3 linked regions of the Diceros bicornis minor genome follow. The protein of the gene in region 1 purifies or fractionates together with the protein of each later gene. This does not show direct contact. Links are inferred from orthologs where the notes say so. Each region holds a gene or a part of one and is shown on either strand. Other genes may lie near its edges. The genes, in order: ANKRD28, PPP6R3 and ARHGEF2.

Region 1 (7,733 bases):
GATCCTCAAAAATGATTCTGAATAAATTTTTAATTTAGGATATTTTGATTAATATAGCAGAAAAGCTCTGTTGGCTATAGTGAGACTTTGTAATGATGAAGAAATTAACCAGGGTAGGTAGGATTACAGTCCAAACCTGCTCACCAAGACAAGATTTATGAGTACTATTAAAAAAAAAAAAAAAACCCAAAAGAGTTAAAACAAAAAGCCATTTTCCTCCTTTTCATAAGTCTATACCCTATAACTATTTCCATCCTACGAAAAGGAGACTCTTCAGGACACTCCAACTAGGTGAAGTGACCAGGCACTCCATTTAAAATAAAGAAAGAAATCCTGAACTAGGCGCATGTTTCCAATACATATAAACTTATATGCAATTCACTTAGGAAGGTTTAAGAAACAAATGTAAGGATAGCATCCTGATCACTATCACTACCCAATGTTAGAATGAAACATTTTAGCTAAAGATTCACATCTATTCAGATAATCTAACTTTTAAAAATAAGATAAATACTTTTTACATCTACTTAACATTAAGTGGTCACAGTAGTATTTTACTAAAGAATGGAGAAAAAACGAGAGTTTGAGATGAGCTTGCAGGGTATGCCTTTCTTAGAACTACCAATCATTTCTAGGTCACCTGTTTTGGTGTTGCTATAGTGACTTCATGAATCATGACCTTTCCTCCCCACTCTCCATAATTCAGAGGACTGAATTATGTATGAAAAATGTACTGAAAACATTTCCAGTAAAAATACATACATTAATGAATTTTATCTTATTATAGTAAATTATATATTTTCAGCCTCAACTTAGTAAATTAAAGAAACTACTGGCCACTGGAGAATCATATACAGAGAAGAAATTATCCACAAACTCACTCTAAAATTGCACCTCATGTCAGTCCTGAATGTTTAATCCACTAAATCTTTAAGTTTGGAGACTTTTCAAACAGTATGTCTTTCTTTTCTGAGACTCTCAAACAGATGAATCTTTGTATATAATGCTTACCATGATTACTTATAGAAAGAAATTTAATCTCATAATCAACTTAGATACATTATAAACTTAATAGAAATGTCTTTTATTTTGAGTTCACAAAAAAGAACTCTCATCTGAAATGTACGGAAGTATTTAACAGTGAAATGTTATGATGTGTACAACTTATTTTCAAATGGAATTCAGTAAAAGCAAAAGAAAAAGATATATGCATATATATATATATATAAAATCTGTGTAAATATGAGAGAGAAAGCAAATGTGGCAAAATGTTATCAATGCTAGATCTAAGTCGAGGGTATATGGGTATTCAGAGTATTTTTTCAACTTTTCTGTGAAAAATTTCAAAGTAAAAAGTTGGGAAACAAAGGACCTTCATTAGCTCCTAGTTCTCTTGTGTTTTAGTTATTACCCTTGAATATATGTCCAGTCCCTTCTTTTTTGCCTCAAGACCCTTCCGCCCTCATTAAAACCACTGTTACAGAATTGTGTTATATCTTTATAAGAAAAATCATAACTCTAGGAAAGAGGTTTTTAAAAGCAGGTTTAAAGACTGGTATGAGTAAACTGTTTTACCTGAAAGTTAACATCTTCCTTCTTAAATATTAGTGCTCGAACTTCATCAGGATCTCCATTAAATATAGCTTGCACCAGTGAAGGCTAAAATACAAGAGAGTAATAAAAATATTAATCACACCACATGGATGATTCTAAAGATATTTCCACATAATTTTTAAGTCTAAAACTTTTCTTCCCTATAGCAACAATAATCATTTGGTTTTTGACATTAACCAAAAGTTTTATGAAGTCAAATCGTATGCAAGTACAGGATTCTTCCTTGGAAAAAAAAAGAAGGCCTAATTAAAAAAAGAAAAAATCAATTCAGCATGACCAAAATTAGGTAGCATAATAAACACAATCAGATTTTACTTTTTATGCGTGGAAGACTTTGTTTATATATATGGTAAAAAGAAAATCTCTTCCAAACACAAGTGTGACATCTCAACATTTACTTGTGGGACACAACTTGTCAAACATTAGCAGTTCTCAGCCCACGCTGAGGTTCATGAAGGAAGGCCTCTTTGAAAAGTTCTGTTTGGACCATCAAAATAACTAGCATAGGTTAGCACTGCATGTATAAACGTATAAATCCAAAAAAGAAAATCTGGCAATTGATGAAAATCACTACTATTCAAACACCAAAAAGTACTGTATACCTGAATAACCTGAAGAGGCAAACACGTGCATATCTAAATATAACAATTTCTTAATCAACGACACAGCCTCTATGATAAGGTATCATATTATACTAGTCAAACAAGAAGCCAACCGACAAAAGCATTAAAAATAAGGTTAAGAATGAACTCTGATTCTTTTTCAAATATAAGTCTTGCACGTAAATACATAAAATTCATTACAGAAAAGGCAGTGGTGTTGCTGGCAGTAGTCAACCTTTCCTAAAACATACAGCTCCTCATTCTTGTTACATCAGTTTTTAAAACCACAAAATGAAAACAGAAACGTGATTGCCATAACTACTATTCTCAAATTATTTTTTAAAAAAAATCTTTTTAAGCGGTTAAGAGATAGTAAGTTTAAAATGTTAAACATCTGAAAAAGTAAAAATCAGAAATGTGTGCATTTTATACACAAGTAATATTGCATCATATTTACACACCTATATTGCTTTAATTTGGGTTTTTAATAAAACCAGTGAAAATTAACTTATGTTTATTCTTAAAAAATAAAATTTACTAGTTCAGAATATAGTAAACATATTAACTCTCATATCTTACCAATGCATTTCCAGAAGGTGGAGAATGTAGGGATTTATTTTCCTGTGGCAATTTAGAAATGAATGCAGGAGATTCATCTTCTACCTCCTCCAAAACAACAATACACACTCGACTCATTCGCTCTTTTAAAATACTAAATTTTAAGCTATGTGATAAAAGTCACAGTTGGACGAGCACAAGTAGTTTTTCCTCCTCTTCTGCACAACGCTTAGAATCATCCTCTGAACAGCGCAGCTGTTTTCAAGTTAATAAGTACTATCGGAAAAACTTAAGTTTAAAATTCTGACTACATAACTTTTAACTTCCTAAAAACAACAAAATTCTATTATTTTTTGTTGGGTTACTGCAATAACTTAAAAGAAATTTCACATCAACATGTCAATAACTAAAACTGAGTCCAATACAAGCTCATTTAAAAATATTTTTACCCTACCAAAATAGTCATATTGCTCTCTGTCCCACAGAAATTTACTTGCATAAAAAGATCACTGTTTTGGGTGATATCGCACGATGCAGAATGAAATGAGAAACAACTGCTGTGACAGAGATGATTACAGCTATACCCACTCTTGCCTGCAAGGTCATATAGTTACCAGTAGCTGGTTTGCCAATAACCGAAAATAAAAAATAAAAATCTCACTATTCTGTTTCCACTTCTAATTTGTCTTCATTTCTTCAGCTTCACTGGTTTAATGCAGATACTATCCAGAAAAAAAATACATCTAGAGCTCAGTACAAATTCTTAAAATGAAGCTCAGAGGTTGACAATTCTTTCTGTGTTTGGGAAAGGAAAAAAACAACACTCTGCATTAATAGCAAAGCTGCAGTACATTTACATGCGATGAGTCAGACCACAAAAGACAATAGGACTCTTGGTACTAGAATACAGCTTGAGTAATCCAGATACCCCATATAATAGAAGAAACACAGATAGCTTTATTCCCATCGATAGCATGAGCAAGGCAAAACGTTCACTCTTTCTCCATCAGGCAGTTGTCTGTGGCTGCTCCAGCAAAAGGGCACAGGCACCAGGCAGAAATGGTGTTAGTGGAGAATCCTAGCTGAACACGCAGGGTACGAAGGAATTAGAAGGCATTTGAGCTCAAATTACTGCTTCAGGTTTTTCATTTTAAAAAGAGAGAGAGGAAAAAAACCAGTAGTTTATCACTCCAGTGTTTCCTTTGATCTCCACATGAATACAGCTTCCATTAAATAGACTTCATTCAGGGAAAAAACAGCAGACTGTGCATCTTCTTTGAGCCAACTACTTTATTCAATCATCTGCCTCTGTGCCAATATAGTTTCCTTCCACGGTGAAAACCGCTACAGTTATCCTTTTCAGTAGATTTCAGATGCTTTCCTGTTCCTCAGATGATCTTGTAAAACCCCACCGACACCACCAATTGAGTAGGTCCTTAAAAAATATCTATTGAACCTCAGGATCGGCCCCACAGAAGCATTCCGACTGAGCAACAGTCTGAATAGCAAAGACTGCAGAACCGCAGGATGAAATGCCTAGTAATGCTCACATGTTACACTTACCAGAGATCTGAGCTACTGCTCAGGATGTAACTTCCTCTAGCTCAAGAAAAAAATAGTGCTTTTGGACAGCCTTCACAATTAGAAGGTTCATGCCAGTTCTGTGACTAATCCAGATCAAACCGAAAAATTCTATAACTGAAAAATGAGTGCGCTTTTAACATTTTCCACTAAAAGCCACAAGGAAATCTGGTGTACTGCCTCTGCTGACTAACACTGGTTTTAGCAAGTAAACAATTCCAAACAGTTTAACTGCTTTCGTATGTTACAATACAGCAAATGTTTAACCCTGTAACGACAGCTGCAGTAATAATGCTTGCAGTGAACCCATAAAAGAGAACTAGAGATGGAGAAATATTTTATGAGAATACAAAAACCACAAACCTAAGATTTTATTCTTATTTTATACCAAGACCATTTTTAATCTACTAGATGTATGTTATTTTCAAGATGCCAAGTTTACACAAAAGAAATTTAAGATTTACTAACAATTTCTAAATTGTTGAATTTAATCAAGTCATATTTTTAAAGGGAAAAAATAAAAATTTCATAATTTTTATAGAAATCCTAACTCTAAAATTCTATGGATCTTTGAATTTTCACCAAAGAAATTAAATATTTCTACCTTCCCATCCAGAAACGGAATAAAGCCTTAAAATCTGTTATATAGCTACATAAAGCTATTGTTTAAAGTCCTTGGTACTGAATTATCTATATGTCAAAAAGGCATAGGATAATACAAAGAAAGCAAAGAATCTCCCTCCTCTATAAAATTAACTTTCCCAAAGCAATAAAGAAGCGCCAGAAACAACCAATTTTTAGCAGTTGGCTTTTCTCCTCTTTCTCTGTTTACTCACCGATGGGGATATTTCCCAAAAGAAAAAACCATGGTTCTCCTTCAATCATCTTCTTTCTTCTATCAACCAGAATTTTTATTAATACACATAATAGTTATTTCTGAACATTTATGATGTACTAGGTGGTATACATTCTCATTTCATACAATAACCTTGCTACATTCCCCTATTATAGAGGAAAAAAGACTCAAATTATCTTATCCAAAATCATGTAAATTAATAAAATTGTACCTAATTCCAAACATACGCTCTTTCTAATCTATTCTGCTTCCAATGAGTACGTACACACACACAAACACACACACAGTCTCAAGATCTTGGCAACCCATACTACTAGACTGTAAAAGTGATCTTAAAAGACAGGTAACCTATAACAGTTGTGAAAAGTTTAGGTAACAAAGGAATATACTATTTACTGGGATAATATTCCCAAACAAGTTATTTTTAAATGGGTATTTCAGGGCTAGTGTTACCTCACTCGTTTAAGCCGGTTTACTTATCAAGACAAAAAAAAACCTAGCATGATAGAGATAATTTAAGAATGCCAGAATTTAAGAACAAAAACTATTAAATATCAAAAAAACCTGTAACCCTAACATAACTGTACCAAGATATTAAAATATGCTCACAATTCACATAGTTGTATTTTAAAATATATAAAATGGTTTTAAGCCCAATTAAAGGCATGCAAATATTTTGACATACAAAAATGATGTTAACTATCTCCACACGGCTAAATCAAAAATATCATCTTGATATCTGAAAATGAAACCACTATAATAACAACATCCTATATTCTATCTTCAGGGTTCCCCCTCCCCCCAAAACGAAATCTCTTTTTACATAGACAATTTTAACTTGTTCCAAAGTATCCAGTGTATAAGTTCAGCTACTCAGATGTAAGCAGGTACATCCTGTTTATTGTTCTAGGTCAACTTTCATACTTAGGTCTTTCCCAACCAGAAAGCAAACTCCTTGAAGGCAGCGACCTGTGTTATATATGTATTGTTTCCTTCTACTTTCTTCTACCTGTAAATCATTTCATTGAAATAAACTCTATTATGTCACAAGACTCTGGAATAGAATGGCAAAATTATAAAGGACAATGGGGGGGATTAATACACACATTTTAATCAGAAAGCAGAGGAGGCATTAAAGTGTAACTGAATGAGTTTTGTACCTCCAGCAGGTGAACAACTTAAATGCAGAAGTTGACAGGATATAAAACAATAATATAGGATGACAGCTAAAACTAAGGGCTCAGGAGTCAGCCTACCTGAAGTTCACATTCTGATTCCATTATTTATTAGCTGGGTCCTCAGGCAAGCTACTTAAAACCTCTGAGTTTAAATTTCTTCACACTTTTATAATAATAATCTCCAGAGATTTTTTACCTAGGAGAAATACTGTAATAGCACAGTGAGAGAGAATGTAGCCTTTGTAGCCAAACTGCTGGTATTCTAAATCCAGCTTCCCACTAACAAACATAACTGTGTGCCCTTCAGCAAGTTACTTAACCTCTCTGTAAATCATTTCAACATCTATTAAAGTGACATTAACTACTTTATAGTGTTACTCATAGTTTAAATAAAGTTTAAAATAAAATAATATTATTATTATGGATATTTAGGATAGTTGAATGATATCCCTTGTAAAGACAGAGCTTGACAACATCCTCCCTACTGGTGAGGTGATTCAGACTGGAGATCCCATTCAGTTGCTAAGTCTCTACCCTTTTCAGGTCTCGAGAGACTGCTAGAAATTTGTCTTACACTCCAGTAACCAGACAAGAGTTTACTAAGTATTATTAGGGGGAGGGAGCAGTAAACTTAGGTGAGAAGTAGGACTACAGGTTTTTCCATTGTTCCACATTCACTGTATTTTATAGTCTAGGGAAACAGAAAGGGTAACAAGTACTGGCCCACGATATACTATATAATCAAAGATACAAAGAGAGAAATACTTCAATTTTTTTTTTTTTTCCTGAGGAAAATTCGCCCTGAGCTAACATCTGTGCCAATCTTCCTCAATTCTGTATGTGGGTCACCTCCACAGCATGGCTGACATGTTGTAGGTCCACACCCGGGATCCTAACCCTCGAACCCAGGCTGCCAAAGCGGAGCGCGCTGAACTTAACCACTACACCACGAGGTTGGCCCAATATTTTTTATTATTTAAGTTAACAGCACCATATAGCACTGTTTTATATCTTCTACTGAATAAGACAGTCCCCTAACCTCAAGGAACTCACATCTTAAAGGAAAAGGAGACAGGTAAACAAGTATTTAAGAAATCAGGAATGGAGACAGTACATATGATGAAAAACTATTGACAAAGATTGTGTAAACTTAAGTTCAACATTTTTTTTTCTTTCAGTTGACCAATGGCAAGGGGATGTGGGTTTTCCTTGAGGCACTTAAATTTTAGGCCAAATTAGATTACATTTTTTACACCATTTTTAAAAATAATTTTATTTATTTATTTTCCCCCAAAGCCCCAGTAGGTAGTTGTATGTCATAGCTGCACATGCTTCTAGTTGCTG
Region 2 (8,043 bases), on another chromosome or scaffold:
TCAATCCCACCGTAAAGTTCCAGAGGTGGGGTCCACCATCCATGGTCTTAAAAAGTGTCCCAAACAATTCTCATGCAGGCCAGTCTAGCATCTATCTAAATAGAGGAGGGTTTCTCGACCTCGGCGCTACTGATATTGAGGCTGGATAATTTTTTTGTTGGGCGAGGGGAAGAACGGTGCTGTCCTGTGCATTACAGGATGCTTAGCAGCATCCCTGGTCTCTACCTTCCAGAAGCCAGTAGCACACTGCCCACCCCCACAGGTGTCACAAGAAAAATGTCTCCAGACATTGCCAAATGTTTTTCTGGGGTGCAAAATCGCCCCCCAGTTGAGAACCACTGATCTAAAATAAATCAAAAACCAATCATTTGAGGTCCTCTTAAGAAAGGGAAGAAATCAGAAAGCTGCTTAAGCTAAAGAGGCCAAATCTATTTTTTCAGTCCGTCTCACATAAAAGTAGCTCACACTACACAGGCCACAGTGGGGCTCAGACACTGACATGTGAGGAGGATCAAACTACAGTCTCCTGTGCTTTTTATGAAATAGACTCAATGCTGAGTTGTAGTTGACCAGATAGCTAGAAGAGCTTCACTGTCACTATCATTTGGTCTTCTTAAGGGTAATAAAACATCGTAAAATTTTAGACCAATCCACACTCAGATTGCCTCTCAAATATCCAAAACATAAAACTGAAAGATACAAGTTTATCACAGAAACAAACTAAATACCGATTCTGACAAATAACGTTTTAAGGATGAGATGTTTTATGTGTAATAAGCACATTACCTTTGTACCAAATCCATGCAAAAATTTCTTTTAAAGAAGCTAAGCAAACCTCACCCTGTTGAGTCTTAATTTTATTACTCTTCATTTTCTGCCCAACTATGTGGTCTGATTCCCAAATTCTCAAGTAGTTAACTGAAACTAGCAAGACTTTCTTTTGTTTTGCTATACTTTACAAAAAACCTAGTTTTCTAATCCAAAACAATCTTCTTCCTGTTCTTGAGTAAGTTACACCAGCAAGATGCTCATCTCTACTTAAGCCTGAGTCTATCAAAATAAAACCTCCCCAGAGCAATAAGGCAGGCCAGGGCCCAAACAAGTAGTACCAAGGGAAGGGTGCGCATGGTTTCCAATACCAGGCAGAAGAGCACAGGGCAGGAATTAAACACTGCGAGTGTACGTGTGACTGAGTGGATGGCACTTTGTCGGATATTCTAGACTCCCTGATGGGACACACTGAAAAGCAAGACAGCTCCCAAAGACCCATCCAGGACAACAGCTATTTCCCAAATTATCTTCACTGAAGTATATTCCAATACACAGTAACCTTTCAGACCCCATAATAACCCAGCAGTACACTGAAAAACCCTGGAGATACCGATGTGGGGGCCAATCATATTCAGGAGTAGTATCCAAAAGTACAGGAGGGACAGAATCTGACTTGCACCTGATGGGCCTTTCTTTATTTCACCACCTCTTAAACAAAACATTCTGAGACACCACCACTAACAACTCCAGGAAACGTTTGTGATTCAGTGAATCTTCAACCACTCTTCTCCGAAAAAATTAAAATAACTTCCAATTCGTTTCCTCAGCCCCACTGACTCTTACATATACAGAGCTTTCTAAACACAGTCGCAAAGCGCCAGAGCTTAAACACTCATTTGACTTCCTAATAGTATGTCAACATTTAAAAATCAAACTTAAACTAATAACAGCCACTAATTACTAAGCTGATTCTCCGTGCAGGCACCGTTTCTAGCCGCTGCACATGTATTAACTCATTTTCCCAGCAAACTTAGGAGATAGACACTCTCATGATTCCCACATTACAGAGGAAGCAGAGAGGGTCAGTAACTTGTCCAAGGTCACAGAGCTAGAAAGCGGTGAGGCCAAGATCTGAATCCGGGCAGTCTAACTCCAGAGTGAGGACAGCTCAGCCACCACCACCTCCTAGGAGACCCTCCAGCGGCTGGAAATCGGGCGTCTCTTTCCCACTTGCTGCCTACCAGCAGCATGACCTTGAGCACAAAACCGAAGTAAACTCCACAAGAACTAGTGCCGTGAGGATGAAAGGAAACAGCTCCCGAGCGCCCCTCCCATAAAAGCAAAATATAAACAAAGCTCCGGGCGACCCGCGGAGAAGTCCCGGGAAAATCACAGGAAGCTCCGACGCTGGAACATCAGGACGCAGACATGCACCCAAGGACTCCTGCCGGGCACCCGCGACCGAGGGGCCAGCTGCGATCAGAGCCGGCAGGCTCCAGGAGGAGCCCCCCAAACCCGCACGGAGAGGCTTCTTTAAGAGGCAGGTCCCCGCAGCCCCGGCAGGACCAGCCCCTCGCTCCCACTCGCCGGGGAAGCGTCCGTGCCCGGGGACGCACTCGAGTGCGGAGTTGGAGAGGCGCTCGGGAGGCGATTTAAACCCTCGGAGCCGGGGCCGGCGGCTCCCAATGACTCTGCGGCGGCGGAGCAGAAACCCACAGAACTTGTTTCCCGGAGAACCGACTCCAACGATGGCCTCGCGAGGCTCCGGCGAGCGGCCGCCGCCGCCGGCCCCGCTCCGGGCCGCGCCGAAGGGAGTTCCCGGGGCCCGGGCGGCGGGCGGAGCGGGCGGAGGAGCCGGGCGGTGAGGGGCGCGCCCCGCCCGCCGCCCGCCGCCCGCCGCGCAAGGCCGCGGACGTCAGCGCGGGCGCAAAGTTCGCCGCCCGGCCGCGTCCCGCCCCGGCGCCCGGCCCGGAGGGACCCCGCGGCCCGCGGACGACCGGCTGACAAGCGGGGACCGGAGCCCGGGCACCGCGCCTCCCGGGCCGCCGGGCGGCGAATTCCGGGGGGGAGGGGAGGGGGCCGGGGCGCTCCCTCCCTGCGCCGCCGAGGCCGAGCAGAGGAGCCCCGCCGCAGCCGCCGCCCGCGCGCCGCGCCTCCCGCGGCCCCCGCGCCGCGGCCCGCGCCGCCGCCCCACCCCCACCTTACCTGGAGGCGCCCGCGACCCGCCGCTAGTCGCGCTCAGGCGGGAAACGCGCTCACCGACACCATCAGCGAAGCGCCCAAAATGGCGGACGTATCAAGCAGGCCTTGAGTTCCCCCCGCCCTCCCCCGGCCGCCTCGCAGCCAATCGCGGCCCTGCCCCTGCCCCCAGCTTCGCGCTCATTGGCCTCCCTCTCCCGCCCCCTGCGACCTATTGGATCGCCCAGCGGCCCCGTTGCCCCCACTCCGATTGGCTGGCGGGCCCCGTCCGTCAAGCGCGAGGGGCGCATTCTTTTCCCATGGACTTGACGGATCCGGAACCTCTAGGACCCCGGAGTCTGAAGAAGCAAATCAAACCGGGCGCAACCTGGCTGGGTCTCCCCTACGCCGTAGCAACAGCAGGGCCTCTGCTTGACGGACGCTCAGACCACCAATCCGATAGCCAGTGCTTTTTAAAATGAAATCGAGCCAAACCAATCGTGGCCCGGGAACTGGGAGCTGCCGGGGAGCCAATGGGGGAGCGAGGCCGGCGGGCGGGCGGGCGAGCCGGAGGGCCTGGAGGAAACCGGTGATGACGTGAGCCACAATGTGTTCCGGCGGCGGAAACCACCCTGAGAGGGGGAATTAGCTCAAATGGTAGAGCGCTCGCTTAGCATGCGAGAGGTAGCGGGATCGATGCCCGCATTCTCCAAGGCTGCATTTTATAAAGACGGTCGCCCGTCGTGGTCACTTTACCGAGAAAAGGTGGCTGTGCCAGGAGTGGGGTCAAAGTGAGGGGTCGTGTGCCCTTAGTTAGCTGTGCGGCGGCCACCACCGCGAGAGAGGAGAACTGCAGGGATCTCCCTTTTGCCCTGCGGAAGGATTGATACACGAGCTTCTTCCACAATGCCCGTCGGGGCCCCCGCCACCTCCCTGCCTCCTGCAGAGGGCCGGGCGGGGACACCCAGGAGTAGCCCACCATCTGCTCACCTTTACGCACTTACTGCTAATAACCTGCCTTGATCCTCAATGGATGCGGAGCGCCGTCCAGGGTCACGTGACAATCAGCCGCGGGCGAAAGTGGGCGGAGGACTGAGAAGGGCAGGCGAGGTTAGCCCGCGTGAAACCCAGTCGGGGTTCAGCAGGACGCAAAATCGCGCACCCACCGGTGTGCGTGCGGTGGGGGAGGTTTGGGCTGGTGGCTGCCGAAGAGGGGGCGCTGCTCATTCGTGGGCAGCCTTCTCGTGGGCACTTGGTCTGCGCCCAGCCTGCGGGCGTGCACGGGGAGCAGAGGGTCCCGGCTCTGACCGCCTGTGGGGGACGGTCAGACACCACCTGGGCCGCACCAGGTAGTGCTAAGCAGGTGGTAAATAAAACAGTAGTGGGCGCCCTTCCTGAGCAGGTTGCATTTCAACCCGCGGGACAGGGAGGACTGAGCATGAGCTCCTGGCTCCAGGTGCTAGAGAGGGAGACCAGAGACCTCAAGGAGGGGCTTTGGAGCGCTGGGGAGGCAGGCATGGTTGGGTTGCAGTGGGAGAGGGACATGGCAGAGAGAGGAGGTGGCAGAAGTGACTGGGTCGTGCGGGGCCTTGAGAATGCCAGCATGCCCAGGAGAAACCAATAATCCCGGATGCTCAGTTGGGCAGGGGCCTGGAGTGACAAGGGGGCTCCATGCAGGGAGCTTGTGGGTCCCTCCCAGGCTTTAGGGCAGCTGACTGGTGGTGATGGCTTGGTCAGGGGTGGCCACTCCTGCTCGAGGAGGACAGGGCGTGTTACTGGAGGCTTCCCCGGGCTGCCGCCCAAGAAAAGTGACAGTGAGCATGGAGAAGGCAGGACCAGCAGAGTTGGCCACCAGCCTGCCTTCCTGATGCCTGGTATCTTTCTGCACCCGCACCTCTGCCCTTTGCACTGGTCCCAGCTGACCTGAGCTCCCTCCACATCACTGACCCAGATTCTCTGAGCCCCCATGCCAAACGGGGAAGCCCAGCTTGAGTTGGGTCAACCCCAGCGCCTGGGGAGCTGGGTCTCCAGTGCAAACATGCCTCCCCCCCAGCTTACCCCCTCAGCAGAGCCTGTGGCTGGAGGCAGACTCTCTAGAAAGAGTTCATTGCTGGTAGCTCAGAACAGTATTTTGTTTGTTTGTTTGTTTGTTTGTGAGGAAGATCAGCCCTGAGCTAACATCCGTGCTAATCCTCCTCTTTTTTTTGCTGAGGAAGACTGGCTCTGAGCTAACATCTATTGCCAATCCTCCTTCTTTTTTTCCTCCAAAGCCCCAGTAGATAGTTGTATGTCATAGTTGCACATTCTTCTAGTTGCTGTATGTGGGACGCGGCCTCAGCATGGCCGGAGAAGCGGTGCCTCGGTGTGCACCCGGATCCGAACCCAGGCCGCCAGTAGCGGATCGCGCGCACTTAACCGCTAAGCCATGGGGCCAGCCCCCAGAACAGTATTATCATCCCCATTTTACAGATTAGTTAACTGAGGCCCAGAAAGCATTTAGATACCAGGTGCAGCCCATTATTGGCTGAGTGATCTAACCTCTCTGACTCTCCAGTTCTTATCTGCGAAGGACTGGTAATGATACTGTAGCTACCAACCTGTGTCCATGCCCTGAAGTGTGCTGGGCCTCCGGGGAGGCAGCAACCAAGGGCAGATGTTACTCGCATTGATCCTGCTGCTCAGTGAGGCTAGAGGTCTTACCCACAGCCACACAGCTGGTGAGGAACACAGTCCAGATTGACAGCAGCTCAGAAGGTGTGCGTGCTGCAGAGGGTTAGAGAGAGGGACAAGTCTCTACCCTCGGTGGGGAGGGAGCAGGCATGCCTGGCAGAGGAAACTATGGAAGCACAGTGGCACAGGAGCATGGGAAAGGCTGCAGGGAACCCCGGGACAGGGTTGGTGCCTGAGAGGGAGGCTTGGCCTGGGCAGAAGGGGACAGCAAGGGCTGGGACCTGCCCTTCTGGCAGCCAGGGGAGGGCCCAGCCACCCACCCATCCCTTTGCTCTTTCATCATCAAAGGACTTGCCAGTACCTGCTTCAGGCTTCTCCAACCCAGACTCTGAGGTGGGTCATAGGGCCATGTGCGCTATAATTAAAGGAAACAGTATAGTACCTCACCCAACGTAAGTGGGCCCCATAGTCTTCAATCATCATGAGTTCCTAACCTATCCAGAAGTGTTGATGTCAGGGAGGACTTCCTGGAGGAGCAGGCATCTGAGCTCAGCCCATCTCATGAGGGCCATGGAGAGCTATTAATTAGGCTTTAAGCAAGAGAGTGACTTTGAAGCTTTGGATTGGCTTCACCATCCTAAAACTTCTAGATTTCACGGATCACCACCTTCCCCTGTTTCCCCCCAATCCTTTTGTGGTTTAATTTTTAATGTTTAAATTTTTAATCCGTTTAGGCTTGAAAAAAAATTTACATGAATATTTTCAGACATACTCAAAAGTGGAGAGAAAAGTATGCCCACTACCCATCACCCAGCTATTACTCCTTAACTTTTGGGAACAGACACAGCTGCCAAATTTTAATCCTTTCAAGTAATATTAAAAAAAAAATACCACTTACTATCACTGGGATTTCATGAAAAAAACGACATTTTGAGCCAGCCTTTATGGCCTAGCAGTTAAAGTTCAGCACGCTCTGCTTCAGTGGCCCGGGTTTGGTTCTCTGGCAGGGAACCACACCACCCGTCTGTCAGTAGAGTAGCCATGCTGTGGCGGCTCACAGAGGAGAACCAGAAAAACTTAAAACTATGCACAACTAGGGGCCGGCCCCGTGGCTTAGCGGTTAAATGCGTGCGCTCCGCTGCTGGCGACCCGGGTTCAGATCCCGGGGTGCGCACCGCTTGTCCGGCCCTGCTGAGGCCGCGTCCCACATCCAGCAACTAGAAGGATGTGCATCCATGACATACAACTATCTACTGGGGGTTGGGGGGGAGGAGGAGGATTGGCAATAGATGTTAGCTCAGAGCCGGTCTTCCTCAGCAAAAAGAGGAGGATTGGCAATAGATGTTAGCTCAGAGCCGGTCTTCCTCAGCAAAAAGAGGAGGATTGGCATGGATGTTAGCTCAGGGCTGATCTTTCTCACAAAAAAAACAAAAACAAAAACTATACACAACTATTTACTGGGGCTTTGTGGGGGGAAAGGAAGAAAAAAGGAGGAAGATTGGCAACTGATGTTAGCTTAGGGCAAAAATTCCCCCGTAAAATAATAATAATAAATTTTTTTTTAAATCCCTTTTCAAAGAAAGAACATTTTAACACACGCATACACTCAGATAGAAAAAGACTTTAAGATGAATAAGCTCAACTTGGGGAGAAAGTTGTCTTTCCTTTTCTTATGTCACCAGGGCTCCGTCCTCACCCGAGGGCTGGAGTGGGGCCACCCAGGCAGAGGACATGCTTCGGGAGGGCCCGGGCTGGTGCTGGCTCATCGCTGGCTCTGGTCAAAACATGTTGAGGCTGGAGAGAAGGGCCAGATAGCGATCTCTAGAGGCAGATGAAGGTGGACCCGTTTTAACATGGGACATTTAACTCCTGTCTCATCCTTTTCTTGACTGCATCAAGATTCAGTCTGGGTTGGGGAGGAGGTGAGTATTTCCCTTCCCAGCAAAGGACTGTTGATAATCCAGGGGTTGGTAGAAAGAGGAGCTGCTGGGGTTGCTAATGACGAGGGCTGCCATCCAGCTTATGGGGAAAGAAAAGAGAAGGGGGCATTTGGGTCCAGAGAAGGAGATAGAGGCATAGGAATCTGGGCGAAGACCTCGAGAGAGGGAGCCAGCAAAGGGCTCCTTGGTGGGACCCCAGACCGTGACCTGAGGGTATGGTCCAACGAGGGGGTCCTAGTCCTGTGAAGAGACAGCTGAGTGGCTCTCGAGAAGAAACCCTGCAGGGGCCACGTGGTATCCAAGCCCTACCCAACTTCCCAACCACCCGGGGTTCTCCAGGACAAAACCTTTCACCTCACCCCCTCCCGGTTCCCCAGCATCCTACCTGGCAGTGGACATGCCAAGGTCTGGCCATATGGATTTTGTTCAACTGCCCAGGGCAGCTGTAGACCAAGGTGGCTTCTGGACCCAGGGCGGAGCGGAG
Region 3 (7,825 bases), on another chromosome or scaffold:
TGGAGAGGTATACTATTTTCATGGATAGGAATAAGCAATATGATAAAGATGTCAACTTTCTCTAAACTAATCTTTAGATTCAATGCGACTCCAATAAAAATCTCAAAGTTTTTTTTTTTTTTTTTTTGTGAGCAGATCAGCTCTATGCTAACATCTGCCAGTCCTCCTTTTTTTTTTGCTCAGGAAGACTGGCCCTGGGCTAACATCCGTGTCCATCTTCCTCCACTTTATATGGGACGCCGCCACAGCATGGCTTCCTGAGCGATGCATCGGTGCGCGCCTGGGATCCGAACTGCCTAACCCGGGGCCACTGCAGCGGAGCACGCGCACTTAACGGCTTGTGCCACCGGGCTGGCCCCTCAAAGTTTTTTAATGCATGTTTTATATGTATGTTATACTCCAATAAATATGTTAATTTTTAAAAAATTAAAAAATTCTCTTTATTTAAAGACACTATGGGAGAGGGAAAAGACAAACCATATTTCTCCATCTTTGAGAAAAGATCACTTCAACACGTATAACAACAAATAATTAGTATTCAGAACATATAAAGAACACATTCAAAACAATAAAGAAAAAACCCTCAAAGAACCCAATACAAAAATGGGCAAAAGACATGAAGAGGAATTTCACAGAAGAGGAAACACAAATGAACAAAATACATATGAAAAGATGCTCAACCACATTTGTAATAGGATAATTCAAATTAAGACCATAATGAGATTTATAACTACTGGACCAGCAAAATTAAGGAATCTGATGACTCCAAATGTTGAAAAGGATATGGATCAATGGGAACTCTCATGTACTGCTGATGGGAGTGGAAACAATTTGCCATTATATTGTAAAAATGAACATCTGTGCACTCTACGACCGAACAATTCCACTCCAAGGTATACACCCTGGAGAAATTCTTGCAAATGTGCACCAGAAGGTGGATAAAAAGGATGTTCATATCGACAATTCTTCATAATAGCAAAGAATGGAAATTGCTCAAATGTCCATGAACAGAAGAATGGAATGAAAATGAATGAACTATAATTATTTGCAACACGTGGATAAAAATTAGAAACAGAATGTTGAATGACAATGTAAGTTATAGAAAATTTTGTACAATATAACATCATTGTTTTTAAACTCAGAAACAAAAAAAAAGAAATGATATATTATTAGGTAATGCATATATCTGTGTTAAAACTATAAAAAATGTAAATGAGTGGTAAAAGAAAGTTCAAGATAGTGATTATCTCTGGTGGGGAAGCAAGAGAATAAGAGAAGAGAGGAAGACGTAAACAAAGATAAATGTATTGGTGATGTTCTAGTTCTTGAGATGGGTGGTCAATTTACCAGACATTCATTTTTAAATATTATATTTAAAAGACAAAGGGAAAAAATACAACAGAGGGTATTAGCAACTCTGGCAAACTGGAGCGCACAGGCCTCCTTTAAGGACATCTGAATTTTAGAAAGTGTAAGCACCATGCTGGCCAAACAAAATAAATTTTGGAGCTAGACTTGGCTCATAGACCGTCAGTCTGCAAGCCCCAGTCGAGTTTAATGAGTCTCAGACTTTTGCTCCGTGGACTGTGGTAGAGTACTGATACGCACATATTACTGCAGGAAGAAACAAAAAACCTCCAACATATAGACAAGGAGAAATGTAAGGGGAGTGCTTAAAGATTAGGTGGAGAGAGGGGAGGAATCAGAGCAGGAAGGCATAAAAAGAGAAAAAAACACTAGGGAAAGGGGGGAAAGAAGAGAACATATAATACCAAGAAGGGGAAAGTGGAAAGTGGGGAGAAGAGACAGGTGGAAGAGAGGGAAAGGAGTATGAAGGAACAGAGGGGAAAAGAGGAAAAAGAAACTTATTTCTCGCACTCATCCTGTGTGCCAGCCTCTGTACTGGGCACTTGAACACCTATTTTCACTGAATAATCACAACTTTAAAAGACAGTTGTTATTATCCTGGCTTTCAGAGAGACGACATGAATTGTTCAGCTGGTAAATGAAGGATCTCAGAGTCAGTTTGACTCCCAAATCCTGTTCTTTCTATGATACCATATTGACATGGGGGTGAGGGAAGACATGCAGAGATGCTGATGGAGAAAAGTGAGTGAGGGGATCAGATGGGTCTTCCCCTGACAGGCTGTAACAGCCTCTTGCGCTCAGCCTGTCTCCCAAACCACAGGCACTGGAACAATGAGGCTGGGGTGGGTAACCCTGGCCAGCTAGAGGATGAGCAGGAAGGGAGGCAACATTTAGTCACCAGGCTTGAGACATTTCTGTGTACTCAGGAAGTCTTAGCTAGTAGACCCAGTGGTGTCTCGCAAAGCCCTCATATCCTCAGGTCCTTAGGTCCTGGTTTGAGAGCTCCCCCCAGTTATGTTCCCTAAGCCAGAAGGCTGGGCAATCTCTCTATCCTGTCTCATTTGATAATCTCATGATTATCTTGTTAGAGAACTATTGTCTTTCAAGGTACCAGATGCCTAGTTTCATCCCACAAATAATAAGTTCAGCTCCAAATCTGAGAAATGTGGGGGTCTACAGAAAGAAGTGGTTTTAACAACTAGGGGAATAGGGGCCTTTTAACGAAAGAGGAACAGAGATACCCACATCAACACAGAGACACAGACACAGAAAGGAAGGAACAGAGAGTCTTAGCGAAAGAGACAGAGGCAAGATACCAAGAGTGGGGAACAGAGCAGACAGACCCAGGGAAGCAGACAGAGGAGTACAGACAACAGATTCAGATTCAGTCGGATAGAGTCAGAGTGATGCCTGGGCACAGAGAAATCCAGCAGCTGGCAGAACAGAAGAGGCACAGAGTGGTGGCTGGACAGGCAAGGAGGCAGGAGAGGGGGAGGAAGGCAGTGGCCTCCATAGGGATTAGTCTGTCCATACCACGCGGGAGGACTGGCCACCTCGGTGCTGCAGTTCCAGAAAGGTGTCCAGTTCCTCTTGGCTCTGCAGTAAGGGGGCCTCCCGGGGGCCCGCGCATCCCGATGCCTGCAGTTTGCTCCTGAAACACACATTGCCACCACCGCCCTCGGTATCCAGTGGCCACTGACGGGCACCAGGGAGGAACACCGCCTCAGCCGAGCCCTGTTGCTTGCCCCCAGCCCAGCCCTTCCTGTTGGCATAGGCTCAGTTCAGACCCAAACTAGCCTCTCTTTGGGGCTGTGCTCTAGCAGAGGTGCAGAGCTAGCTACAGGCAAGAGTGACCCCTGCTGGTCAACAGGCAGTACTGCCCTCCAGAAGAAAGCCAGTGCTCCGGGAGAGGCAAATGAAGGGCAAGCTGGATTCTCACTCCTTGCCTGGTTTCTGATGACAGCCTTTGCCCCGACTCAGCTGAATAGCGTGCCCAGGGCTCCTTTCCCTCTCTACCCAAAGGGCAAGAATTGATGCCTGATAGTGAAAGATGGCACCTGCAAGACTCTGAGATACAGTTGGCATCACATAAGGGGTACCCAGGGCATCTCTGCCTTGGACCAGCTGCTCTTAGGAAGGTGCCATGAGCCCTGCAGGCAAGGTTCTCTCCTGAGTTCCCACCCAAGCCAGTTCAGGGACAAGGTGCAGGGTCCTCTCCCCTAACCCGGCCCAGCCAGCCCTGCCCAGGAGCTAGAGAAAGTTGGTCTACTCACCAGAGCTAAGGGAACTCGTCCAAGGGGACCATTGCCAAAGCAGAGAGACAGTGCCCTTCCATGGCTAGCAGGCCCTCACATGACCACTCACACTGAACTCTTCACGCTCACCCCAGGCCTTCTATTTCTGACTTCCTCTGTCTTTGGGGAAGTGGTCAGGGATTTTCCAGGAGAAGCAGAAGAGATGGGTCCCTCTTTTCCGGTCTGCCAAGCATATGCAGACCTCTGAGCAAGAGTAGCTATTCTCCCATTGCAGGGCTGTACTATGATGACCAAAACATTTTGGGTCTGCCTCAGCCTGGACCCAGCAGGTAGGCAGCAATTTGGGAAAGGGGCAGATTCAATGCTCCAAACCTGTGACCACTTCTCTCAAGAAAGAAACCTTCCAAAGTTCTCTGGGCCTCAGTTTCCTCATCTGTAAAATGAGATTGGGTCGTATGATCCCTGAATCCCTTCCAGCTCTGGCATCTCTGTATGCGTCTATGAAACCCAAGTGGAGATGGAGGCAATAAGACCAAATGTCCTGATATTCACCCCAACTCCACACCTTACCCCCTCCACTCTGACCCCCACCTGCCCTTGAGACCAGGTAGAAAGAAGGTGCTAGGACCACTAGGGAGAGCCACATTTTGAAAGGCAGGGTCCATCCTCCCCAAAGCCCTCCCATAGGCCCAGGTTCTGATTCCCTAGGGAAGAGACTAGGGACCCAAGTCTCTTCAATTCCTGTCATTCGTTTCTGACCACTTTCTCCTGAGTCTAGGACTTGAGGGAAGGAGGACAGAAAGTCCCCTGGGGATTTACCTGCTCATTGGATCCTGGAGCTCCCTGCCTGGCCCCCAACTATGTCTTTTGAAGGGGTCATAGTTGTGGCTCTGGGCACGGAAAGCCCCCGACCTTCGGAGGGGTACAGCATGGAAGCCATCTCCCTCCTTTTTTCCCTCTTCCTCCTCCTCTTCCTCCAGCTGCTCTCTGGACTCCACTGCAGACAGGCAGCGGCGAGTGTGGCCTTGGGGTACCAGGTCTCCACCTGGGACGTCTCTGTTCATGGGAGGCACACGCAGGCCAGTCTGAGTCAAGAAGACAGAGAAGGGTGAGCAGAGTTCTAGAACTCAGGAAACTTAGAACTAGAAAGATGTCACAGTCAGCAGGGCCTAGAGTATCTAGTCACCCCTCCCTTTCCTAAAGCACAGAACTGGAGAAGGCTGGCTCAGGATCACACCAAGAATTAACTGCAGAGCCAAGTCCAGAACTTGGGTTTTCTGACACCCAGTCTAGTGTTCTTTTTTGAGGCAGATTAGCCCTGAGCTAACATCTGTTGCCAATCCTCTTCTTTTTTGCTGAGGAAGATGGGCCCTGGGCTAACGTTCATGCCCATCCTCCTCTATTTTATATGGGACGCCACCGCAGCATGGCTTGATGAGCGGTGCATATGTCCGCGCCCAGGATCCGAACTTGTGTACCCCGGGCTGCTGAAGCGGAGCGGGTGAACCTAATCACTATGCCACTGGGACGGCCCCCCAGTCCAGTGTTCTTACCAGTACATAATGACATCCTCATTCACTCATTATTTTTCCATTTACTGAGCACCTAAATGGCAGAAAACCAAGCCAAGAAAAGAGAAATAGATATTGTTCCTGTCCTCAAGGAATTCACAGTCTAGTGAGTATGTGTGTGTGTGCACATGCACGTGTGTGCACATAGACAAAAGCACAAATCACAAATGACGGACTGGCCAGAGTATGCCAAATAACCAGCTGGACACTCAAAAAAGGGAGGCAGAAGGGAGTAGATAGGCTTTGAGATGGGCCTGGAGGGGTGGAGTGGTTAGGATTTGGCCAAGTTGGAGAGGGAGGAGGCTAGGCGGATAAAGCTGGAGGGAGGAAAGGTTCAGGAGTGAGAAAGTATTGTGAGTTCTTCCCTCTAAAATTCTGGTCATATGGGGAGTAAGAGAGCTATTACCACCTCTCCTCGTGCAGCACAGAGAAGGGCTCCAAATCCCAGCCACATCGCAGTTCCTTCTCTCTCTCCCAGGACTGCACTGTTGTCATTGCCCAACCCTCCCACATGCCATCAGGGCTTGCCTCAGTGTGTCTCAGAGTTAAGAACCCTCGGGTGCTCTTAAAGTTGAAATGATAAGCCCCATTCCAGAAAGAAGTACCAAATTCCAGAGGACCAAGACGGTGGAGGGGCAGGAAGGGAACTAACATTACTGCATACCTCTGTACAGCTCACTCATAGGCCCTGCCTCTCTGGACCTTCTGTTAGGATGAGTCTCCCAGGCTCCCCTTCTCCAGGGACCACTCCCAGCTACTGAGATGTTGGGAGTTCCCAGGAAGACCAGGAAGCTGTGAGCAAGAATCCTGCCTCCTCCCAGGCTTTCTGTGCTATTACCCTCCCCCCGCAGGAGCATTCACGTTGTTGGAAAGTTGCTCCTTCAATCAACTTTTCCCCTTTTCCCTCTCCCACTGCAATCTGTCCACTGCCCCTCCCCCCACTCAGGGTGGCTGAGAAGGTGCTTGAGCCTGTGTCGAGTGCATGCCTGTCCACCGCAGGGAAGGAGGGAGACAAGTGCTCAGGCCTCTGCAGACAGCATTCTGCTGCCCTGCCAGGTGGGTCTAAGGATAAAAAAGGAGAGGCCTAGGAAACCCGCCCAGGCCCTGTGCCTGTCCATGCTCATTACATCTGGAAGCAACGTAGAGGGGACCCCTCAGCCAGCCACGAGGAGAGATCTCTCTCCTGGTCTACAGACTTGGGCCTCATGCCATCTGATGTGCTGTCTGTAAATGCGATAGGCAGATCTGGAGGGAGCAGGACAGAGGCTGAGGGCCGGAGCAAGGTCCCTGCCAACCAGTGGTCTCCAAAGCTGAGATCTGGGGGGCAGGAGGGAAACAGACAAAAAAGTATTGTGAGAAGTGGCAGTGGAGGGAAGAGCATGAACTGGAGGTGCTGACTAAGAAAAGAGGAAGAGGGGCTGGGAACAGGACAGAAATTGAGGGGCACCGAAGCAGCGCTGCAAGGATCTTGGGTGCTTGGCATTCAGTGACCTCACAAAAGAGAAAAGACTGCTTGAGCTACACCCCCTGTAGCCAGCTTCTCTCTGCTATCCCTGCCCTACTTCTGCCTGCAGGGCTGATTTGGCAAGATGAATGAAATGCAGTGAATTGAAGCCCTTTCCTTTCCCTCCGTTCCTAGAGACGCCATCTGCTGGAGATGGTACCCTGCTACCCTGGCCCAGTGGATAGACCTTCTGATCCTGAGATCTTTATGTCCTGAGATCTCACCCTTCTTCCTCCAGCTCAGACCAACTGGAATCTGACCTCAAAGATCTACCCTTTTTCCAGCATCTCTGTCATTTCATTCACAGTCTCTGCCCTCTGTGAAAATGGAGTCCACTGGGCTCCTTCTCCCTCAGATCTTCATTCCATTTCTCAGAAAGTTTTTCCTGTTTTCTAAACTCCACCCCTCCATGCTATTATGTCAATTTTTATTCTATCCTTTAAAGAGATGAGGTTTAGTAAGGTTTCCTGAACCCCCACCCAGAGACATTCCCTCCTCCGTTTTCTGAAATTCAAGCTGGGGCCCCTATGGTTGTGTTCTCTTCCTTGCTTCCCTTTCCATTAGTTCTCTCCCAGCCCCCATCCCACATCCCCTAGCCTCCCTGAGCTCAGGAAACGGTGCAAGGGAGCAGCCAGGGCTGGGTCTCACACAATGGCTTTATTTAGCTCCCGAATGAGATCACATCATGTCACATCACTGCTTCCGCTGAACAGAGAGATAAGAGATTTTGAAATAGGTCTGGGATCGGACACTCGAGATGGGGGCAGGGGAGGAAAGCAAGAAGGGGCTCTAAGAAGTTGTTTTACTTATCTTCCTGCCTCTAGATCAGATGGTTTTCCCACCAACACAGACTGTCAGTGTCTCCTGCCTCCTCCTCTGAGTTGCAACCTCCACCTACCACACTAGTCATCAGTGATTCGTTAGACACTGTACTGGGCGCTGATATGGGAGCACATAATATTTTAATAGAGAGAGACATCTGTTATTCAAAACTCTGAGACCATAATTTCTTTAGGGTGTTATAGTGGCTTTGAAGTCGGTCCGATTTGCTAGCTCTGCCACCTTCATAACCTCATGATCCTGGGAACTCGCTTAATGTTATTGAGCTTTAGAATCATCTGTAAAAT

What was found.
Region 2: the proteins of ANKRD28 (region 1) and PPP6R3 purify together in Homo sapiens (co-immunoprecipitation; 3 studies listed by BioGRID and IntAct, with this or other methods). This does not show direct contact. The link is inferred for Diceros bicornis minor from reciprocal best matches to the Homo sapiens genes ANKRD28 and PPP6R3.
Region 3: the proteins of ANKRD28 (region 1) and ARHGEF2 purify together in Homo sapiens (affinity purification with mass spectrometry; 3 studies listed by BioGRID and IntAct, with this or other methods). This does not show direct contact. The link is inferred for Diceros bicornis minor from reciprocal best matches to the Homo sapiens genes ANKRD28 and ARHGEF2.

The regions. Positions count from the first base shown.
Region 1 is NC_080741.1:22,236,246-22,243,978, forward strand, and holds the start of ANKRD28 (serine/threonine-protein phosphatase 6 regulatory ankyrin repeat subunit A), read right to left. Parts: upstream 3,064-7,733; 5' UTR 2,913-3,063; coding exon 2,796-2,912; intron 1,660-2,795; coding exon 1,576-1,659; intron 1-1,575. UniProt on the Homo sapiens protein: Regulatory subunit of protein phosphatase 6 (PP6) that may be involved in the recognition of phosphoprotein substrates. Involved in the PP6-mediated dephosphorylation of NFKBIE opposing its degradation in response to TNF-alpha.
Region 2 is NC_080770.1:5,505,313-5,513,355, forward strand, and holds the start of PPP6R3 (serine/threonine-protein phosphatase 6 regulatory subunit 3), read right to left. Parts: upstream 3,064-8,043; 5' UTR 2,977-3,063; intron 1-2,976.
Region 3 is NC_080743.1:59,647,491-59,655,315, forward strand, and holds the start of ARHGEF2 (rho guanine nucleotide exchange factor 2), read right to left. Parts: upstream 3,026-7,825; 5' UTR 2,902-3,025; intron 1-2,901. UniProt on the Homo sapiens protein: Activates Rho-GTPases by promoting the exchange of GDP for GTP.